Linked DNA regions of Chlamydomonas reinhardtii. The protein of the gene in region 1 binds, or shares a complex with, the protein of each later gene. Links are inferred from orthologs where the notes say so. Each region holds a gene or a part of one and is shown in the gene's direction. Other genes may lie near its edges. The genes, in order: CHLRE_06g306800v5 and CHLRE_01g030950v5.

Evidence for each region.
Region 2: the proteins of CHLRE_06g306800v5 (region 1) and CHLRE_01g030950v5 are in contact, whole or in part, in a cryo-EM structure (PDB 8K20), measured with the Arabidopsis thaliana proteins. The link is inferred for Chlamydomonas reinhardtii from reciprocal best matches to the Arabidopsis thaliana genes AT5G26110 and AT4G34412. Residues at the interface, in NP_001331017.1 of Arabidopsis thaliana: Thr27, Phe28, Ala29, Arg31, Asn58, Ala61, Arg62, Thr65, Arg68, Lys69, Leu70, Gly71, Val72, Cys73, Val76, Leu77, Tyr78, Ala79, Val80, Asp81, Thr82, Leu83, Leu84, Gln151; in NP_680763.2 of Arabidopsis thaliana: Asp7, Phe51, Leu54, Ala55, Gln58, Ile62, Arg66, Lys147, Thr149, Gln151, Glu152, Ile155, Ser156, Asp160, Val163, Cys164, Ala167, Ala168, Asp170, Ala171, Leu172.

What each region holds. Positions count from the first base shown.
Region 1 is NC_057009.1:8,379,978-8,383,881, reverse strand, and holds the start of CHLRE_06g306800v5 (uncharacterized protein), read left to right. Parts: upstream 1-956; 5' UTR 957-1,044; intron 1,045-1,145; 5' UTR 1,146-1,301; intron 1,302-1,591; 5' UTR 1,592-1,603; coding exon 1,604-1,799; intron 1,800-2,002; coding exon 2,003-2,121; intron 2,122-2,491; coding exon 2,492-2,605; intron 2,606-2,698; coding exon 2,699-2,809; intron 2,810-2,965; coding exon 2,966-3,038; intron 3,039-3,201; coding exon 3,202-3,311; 3' UTR 3,312-3,904. Other genes in the region: CHLRE_06g306850v5 (uncharacterized protein), read right to left, coding at 251-411, 607-640, 747-749.
Region 2 is NC_057004.1:4,534,730-4,538,633, forward strand, and holds CHLRE_01g030950v5 (uncharacterized protein), read left to right. Parts: upstream 1-1,207; 5' UTR 1,208-1,249; coding exon 1,250-1,335; intron 1,336-1,409; coding exon 1,410-1,473; intron 1,474-1,713; coding exon 1,714-1,836; intron 1,837-2,057; coding exon 2,058-2,141; intron 2,142-2,301; coding exon 2,302-2,388; intron 2,389-2,761; coding exon 2,762-2,848; 3' UTR 2,849-3,276; downstream 3,277-3,904. Other genes in the region: CHLRE_01g030900v5 (uncharacterized protein), read right to left, coding at 84-914.

The sequences.
Region 1 (3,904 bases):
CCCACACCGCGCCCCGCCCCCTTGTGCTCCTCCCCAGGCCGCCAGCTCGCGGCGGTCCATCCTGCTGTGTGCATTTATGCAGCACGCACGCGTCGGCTTCCACGTGTGTCCACCGGTCACTTCTCGGGCCCACCGGGGCCCGGGCCCCACATACACGCACACCGTGCCAACCTTCACACATCTGCACACCTCCGCATACACACACATACACACACAATGCCAACACACATCTTCCCACGCTCGCGTCCACCTTGGTGGCGGCCACTGCCTTGACGATGTCATCGAAGCCGGGCGGCGGCCCGTCCTCCTCCTCCGCCTCGTCCGCCCACGATTTCTTGGGAGTCTCCTTTGCTGGCTCCGGAGCGGCGGCCTCCTTGGCCGGCTCGGCCTTAGGAGCCTCGGCCTTGGGGGCTGCAGGTGGTTGGATTGAAGTTGGAAAGCGGGATTGCGTGTTAGGTGGGCCCTACATAGCTGTGTTGGGCAGGCGACCGAAGTCCGTGTCGACTGGGCGTCGCCCAGTGCTGGGTTCCCCCGCCAGGCTGTCCAGGCTGACACGCACTCCGGCGCAGCTGCGATGCTCGCCGCGCTCGCCGGCACGTAACTCACCCTCCTCCGTCGGCTTTGCTGGCGCGTCGTCAGCCTACGTGCAGACACGAGCGAGAATCGAAATTTAGTCCAAGATCGAGAGCCGCTGACTGCATGTGATCTGTCTGTTGACTCTATAGTTTTGAAAGTATCTCACGCACCATCTCGACTGCTCGGCGCCTGCTCTAGACCTGAGTCCTTCTGTGTTTGCCGCCGCACGCCAAGAACAGCTCAGTCACCAGTAAGTCAAGAACTCTGTGGGCCAAACCGATTAAAAATGTATATGCAATGGTCGTCGCTTCGCGGTTTTGTGGCACAGCCCATGCAGACGACCGATGGATTTTCTTATTCAGACCAATTTTCCAGTTCTGCTGCGACAGCTGCATATAATCAGCACACAAAATGGCAGGAGCAATGGAGGCGCAGGGAGGGGACGACAGCGCGGCAACCGGCGCCAAGGTGTGCCTGCATGTGCACCTCTGACTTTTTCGCTGTCTCGCTTGGGTCTTTGTGCTCTTGCGCTAGATTAAGCTTCAAAATGTTTCGGAATTGCGCCCCAGGCGGCTCATGAGGAGGAGCGCATTACCTTCCTAGGCCGGCCGGCGCTAGTTGTGACACTTGGCACTGGCGGCGGGGCGGGCGCTGGCGAGCGCTCGCAAAAGCGCGCCCGGCCCGAAGAGGGAGGCGACGAGGGAGCGCAGGGGGGCATCCGGCAGGTGAGGGGGGGGAGGGGCACGAGAAGGATGAGCAGGACGGGTTGGAGGGGTTGATGACGGCTGCGGCGGCGGGGGGCTGGGCTGCTGCCAGAGTCACAACGCGTTGCCCCCCGCCTCCACTCCAGCACTACCTGAGCACGCTGCTGGTTGAGTGGTAGTGGAACTTGCGCAGAAAGCTACCCGTGCTGACCTCGCCTCAAACCCCCACCCCCGCACCCCCCTCCTTGTCTCTCCACATGCGGCTTTGTCCCTCCTCTCTGCACACACGGCATCGGTGCTCGCGGGCGCAGGTGGCTCGCAGCATGCTGCGTGCGCACAAGCTGGGCGTGCTGGTGCCGCTGGTGTACCATACGGACGTGGAGAGCGGCCGGGCGGTGCTGGAGGCAGTGCCGGGCAGGCCGCTGCAGGCGCTGATGGAGGCGGCGGTGGCGGAAGCGGAAGCGGGGTCGGCAGGGGCGGAGGCGGCGGAGGCTGGTGGCAGCGGCAAGGCCGCGGCAGGTGAGCAGCAGTGTGAGCCCTACCGGGGACACCGTGACGCTGAAGCGTACCGTAAACCAAGTCATGCTGCAACTCTGCACCGATTTCAACTTCTCTGGTCATTGCACCGTATAGCATTGCACACGGCCGCCACACGCCACCGCACCTCAACTCACCACAACCTCCAAACCCGCCCAACCCGCCCGGCCCTGCCGGCACGCCAGACCTGGACGCGGCGGCGGTGGCCCTGGGCAAGGCGCTGGCGCGGCTGCACGACGGCGACCAGGTGCACGGCGGGCTGGGCGGCTCCAGCGTGCTGCTGCGGGACAGCGACGGAGCCGTGGTGGGTGCCGTGCGAGTGTCGGGGTGGGAGCAACAGGCGCAGCAGCATATGGAATGCAAGGAATGGGGCAGATTGCATTTGTTGGAGAGGGTGCTTGGAGGAGAGGCCCGCGCACCAGTTGGGGCACACGTAAAGTTGAACTGTACTGTACACGAAGGAGGACTTGGGTTGGTGGTGGATGCAGGGAGGATGCGGTCTGGTGTACTGCTGGCTGCGCTGGGGCCCCTGAGGCTCGGGGGTTCTCGCACAGATGTGACCTTGGATACCGGCACACACGTGTATCCTCCCCGCCTCCCCCGCTGCAACCTTCAGTGCAGGCTTCTCCAACCATCTTTGCAATCCCCCAACGCCTTCTGCCCACCTCCTCCAGGTGCTGACTGACTTCCGGCGCTCCACCAACTCCCTCATCGCCATCGACAAGGCCTCCGACCTCGCGGCACTGGAGAAGGCGCTGTTGGAGGCGGCGGCGGGACGGGGAGGGCAGGTGAGGTGGGGGAGGAGGGTCCAGGGGGTGTGAGGCAGCAGCACCAAGTCGGTGATGATGGTGGTTTTGATGGTGATGTTTGCGGTGACGCAGGAGGCTGCCGCAAGCACGTCGGCAGCTGCTGCGGGCGCGGAGTCGGGCGGTGATGGGGCGAAGGCTGCGGCTGCGGCTCCCTCCAAGGCGACAGAGATTGCCTCAGCCTTTGTGAGTCATGCCAACTGTCTAGCTGCTCTCGGATGCAAATGTGTGCATTTTCTTTCTGTTCTGACTCGCCATTGTCAGCTAGTCTCTCGCACGCGTGAAGGCTTTCCACGTGTGAAGGCACTACTGAATCTTTATGCTGTGGCGATGTGGCGACAGTTCGAGAAGGTCCTGAACACCTACCGCCCGTCATCCCGGATGTGGTCAGCCGTACACAACAAGCTGGCAGAAGGTACGGCTCATGGCAACATGGGGAGGGCCCGAAGGCGGCATGGGACGGTGTGCTGTGCAATCGTGCACACCTCGTGCCATACCATCCGGGCCGGGGACTGTGATATGTGTATCCGTCACGCCCGACCTCTGCTTCCGTTGTGTCTGCCATTCTGCTACCGCAGTGCGTGGACGAAAGGCGGTGTCACAACCCGGCCAAGCAGCGGCAGCGGCAGGGTCAGGGGCGAAAGCAGCGGCCGCAAACAAGAAAGCTAAGACAGAAGCTGCGAAGTAGAGGCGAGCTGCCGCGCTGGGTGCGGAGCGCTTGCGTGTTCCCAACGGGTATGACGGCAGCGACACACGAGGGGGTGGCGGGCGAGGGGCGGGCTGCTTGGATGAGGGTACGGCGGGGGTGTGCTGGAGCCGTGGGCGGCAGGGCGGCTCGACGGCGGCCCTTGCTTCGGCATGGGCTGGGGCTGAAGCATGGTGAGCAAGGGGCCGGCGGTGGCACAAACGTGCACGACGGTTGAGGTGTATGTCCCGTGTTTGCGGGCTGAGCACGGCTTCATCATAGGTCTTTGGCGCAGCGCACAGGCACCTAGGACTGCCTTTGATTGTGTGCCGTTGGTATGCACGCTGCTGGTATGGGCCACTGGGGCTTTTGGATGTGGCGTGTGGGGCAGCACGTTGGACAATGCAGCTGGCGGCCTCGGACGACAGACACAAGGACTTGAAGATGGGTACCCCCGGACGGTTCAGGCTTTCGGGCGGGGGGCGGTGCCCGATGCCGTGGTGCGGTCGTTTCGCAGGGCCGGCGCCAGGCGGCACGAGATCGCATGGATTGATGCATGGGAGGCCGGCTGTGCTGGGTGCTGAGTGCTGGGTGCT
Region 2 (3,904 bases), on another chromosome or scaffold:
CAAAATGACTGCCCGGCCACCGCGTCCAGGCACCTCAACGTGCGCATTGACCTACGCTTTACGCCCTTCACCGGTCGCCGCACCTGCACGCAGCCCGCCATGAGCGCGGCGAAGGCGGAGGACAGGCCGCCGATGTGGAACAGCGGCGCCGTGTGCAGGTAGGTGTCAGCGGGGCAGTAGCCCACCAGAGCCAGCTTCACCATCGACTGGGCGTGGAAGGCGGCGTGGCTCAGCTGCACGCCCTTGGGCGCGGCCGTGGTGCCGGACGTGAACACCAGCAGCGCCGTGCCGCAGGCGGGAGCCAGCAGCTGCAGCTGTGGCGATGGTGGCGGCGGTGGTGTTGAGGACGGCAGTGGGCCTGCTGCAAAGGATATGAGACGGCTGGTGGTCAGTGGGCATGCGCCAGTGCTTCTGCTGCTGCCGCTGCTGCTGGCGGGGGCACCGGTGGCAGCGGTGGCGCTGGTGGTAGTGCTGCACCCACCCCAGACAGCACCGTGGCTGCCAGTTGCTGGGCACCAGTGGTCAATAAGGCACAAAGGCGGCACCGTTTTTGCTGCCGTAGCATGATAAGGGCCATTGCTGCCGGCGTGCTGCTCTTGTTGCTGACGCTGCACCTGCAGGTCACGGCCAGCCTCTGCCACGGCCTGCTGCGCGAGGCCTGCGCATGTGACGTCGTGGAGTACCAGCGCCGGCGACAGCCGCTGCAGTGCCTCCGCCAGCTCAGCCACGCTCCAGCGCCAGTTTACGGGGCAGAGGATGCAGCCGGCATCGAGGCACGCCAGCATGGCTTCCATCATGACAGCGCTCGTCTGCGCGACCAGCACCACCACCGAGCCGACCGGGGCTAGCGGGCGCTGCAAGCCGTCCAGCCCGCAAGCCGATAGCGCGCGGCTGAGCAGCGCGATGCGATGCATAAGCTCAGAGCTAGTGGCAGAGCGTGGCGTGGAAGCTGCTTCGTCTGCACGCGTGGGACGGCCCGCAGCGTCGATGAACAAGGGACGCTGCCGCGCTTGCTGCCCGATGGACAACAAGGGAGCGCAGACATGGTAAGATGATGCCATATCTATGGATTTCAATTTACATATAACAGGAAGTCGCACGGCGCGACAAGGGGGTGAGCCATCGGGGCGAGCTTTGGAATCCAGTTGCCGTCCATCCCGCTAAAGTCAACGCGATCGTTGTACAGCCTCTTTCATTGTATGACTTCGTCTAGCAACCATAACTTATAATATATCACCGGAACTTCAAGATGGCCGAGCCCACGGTTCTGTCGTTTGAGACTCATCCCGGCCGCACGCTAACGGCTGCACTGTTCAAGGACGTCAAAAATGCAAAGTACGCATGCCGAATTGTAGCCAAGAAACTAGGAGGTCTATGCTGACGACGAATGTTTCGCCCGGCATGCACAGGGAACTGCGGGCGCTGCTCGCAGAAGGCTCATTACCAGAGTTTGCATATATAAACGCCAGAGTGGTGGGTGCTGGGGATTGTTAAGGGGTTATGCGACGGCGGCGGTGCCCTTCCCTGGCCACCCCCTGCCGCGGCCTCCGGGCCGGACGACCCCTGCTAGAGCCGTGTCGGAAAGTTGCTTGCATCCTTGTAAACTGAGAAAAGACAACCGGGAATTCTCTCTCTAGTTTGAGCCCGCCACTGCTGCAACAACACCAACAGCATCTCCCGCGTCCCTTCCTGCCCTCCCTTCCCCACCCAAAGGTGCTGGACCCCTTCATCCTACAGCTGTCGGGGCACCGGGCGCTGGCGGCGGAGGGCAGCACGCGCATGGCCACAAGGAACATCCACACGGAGCTGGTGTACGGCGTCAGCGCCACAAAGCATGTAAGGCCGCAGGTGCTTGTCATACCAGATCGTGCTGGTGCCGGGTGGGGCAGGGTGGTGGCGGACGGCAGCGCGCCAGGCGGGCTTGGGGCAGTGTGTCGGCGGTCGGTGTGTGTCGGCGGTCAAGGGGGTGCTATGAATTTCTGGAGACTCCAAATGCTGGTGTCGTGCCTGTAAGCTCGTCCAAGCCACGAGTGCGTGCCCTGACGTCGGGTGGGCAGGTTGCTGAGTCGTTAAAGCGGTTCGGCATCAACGACGACACGTCGGCAGTGCTGGTGGCCCGATTCGACTGCAAACCTGAGGAGGTGAGTCCCGGTGGCGTAACGCATTGAGGTGTAACTGGCACAGCACCGCAATACTTCTGCAGTAACCTCAGTCGCGGTCGCCAATGCCACTTTAGCATGCACCTCTTTGCACCTGCCACCTGACCTTGCTACTGCGGACTGGCTGCCCGCTAACCCGCAGCTGGAGGCGGTGGCCAAGCGGATAGAAGGCGAGCAGGCGGCCCTGTCGGAGCTGGGCACGGTGGTGGACCTGGACCTGATTGACAAGGTGCGGAGCTGGCGGGTGCCGGGTGGCGAGGCCGTTTGCCAACAGGACTAGGAGTCCAGGGCAGCAAGTGTCAGGGTTACGGTGTTGGCGGCAGAGTGCGGCGTTCCACCTGGAATAGACAGGTGCCGCAGGGCTGCGGCCGAAATCTTTGTGGTCAGATTCGGGTCGCGCCGAAACCTTACAGTGCCTTCGACGTGCAAGGGCCTGCGTTCGGACGAACGGCCGCCACAGTCCATTCTGGGGTTGAATGCCGCAGGCCACTCCGGCCTCCTGCCCCGCTCGCGGCATCCCCTGTCCCAGCCTCCAGCAGAAGCTCACTACCGTACTTATCCTCACCCTTCCGCCTCGGCACAATTATGCCCCCGCTCCATAGTACTTCAAGGTGTCCAAGCAGGAGCTGCAATCGCGGGGGCGTCTGGACGCCGTGACCTTCCGTGTCGGCGCAAAAGACTGCATGTGAGCTTGTAACGGTCGTGAACGATGGCCGGGCGTGCCGGTTTGCGTGCATAAGGTGCGCTGGCACTGCAAAATAGGAGCACTGGCCTCTACAGGTGTAGGGATTGATGCTGTTGTGTGCTGACGGGACGCGTTCATGCGCGGAGTGCCGTGATGCCATGGAAATGACAGCCGTTTATTGAATTGACGAAATGGGTGATGGCTGTGGTACTAGGGCAGGGTGCGAAACACGTGTGCGCACGTGCGCGTGTGCTGGTGAGCACGTGCCCAATGCGATTATAGGCTCCGACAACCGAAGCGGCAACCCAAGAACTTGCGTATCGTGTACTTGCAGTGCTTTGACGGACTTGACTGGACTTTACAACGTAAAGGGGGATACAGAGCCCTCCACGGGTGCGACATGCCCCCACGGTATTAGGGCCATCCGTGGCTCTCGCCAACCCGCGTCCCCACTGTTGGAGATATTGGGGTCGGCTGGCTAGGACTCACGGCGGGTGCGTTACACACACGCGCAGCTATGCTGCCTGGCACCGTATTGGGGGGTCTGGTCCGCTACATCCTGCGGGTGTAGTTAGCAAAACGTGCGCACTAGCCGGGGCAATATCCCCCGGGTGCCACGCCTGCGGCCTGGGACTGGCTGACAGACGTGACCGGCCACGAGCCGTCAACTGCCGCACTGACCTCGCCTATCACGCGGTTCGGGACGCAACCTTGCGGGACTCACGCCCGCAAACCCCAAATAACCAACACTCCCCCTCGGACCGAACCGGGTCCAACAGTCAACCGCCACATGACAGCCAACTAACAACAAGGGGAACAGGCAAGGCCAATCACTGGCCGCAGAGGAGGAATTACCTCCCCCTCAAAGAAGCACGTCTGGCACAGCTAGCTAGTTGACCCACTGCAACACAGGCGCGCGTACCACAAGTCACACTGCCACCAGTCGCTGCCCATATGCTATACCCAAGCTGCCAACCAGGCTCAAATTACACGGGCGCATCAGGCGCGCACACCGCCGCTGCTGATGACGCCGTCACTCTAGGCTCCACTGAGTCACGCA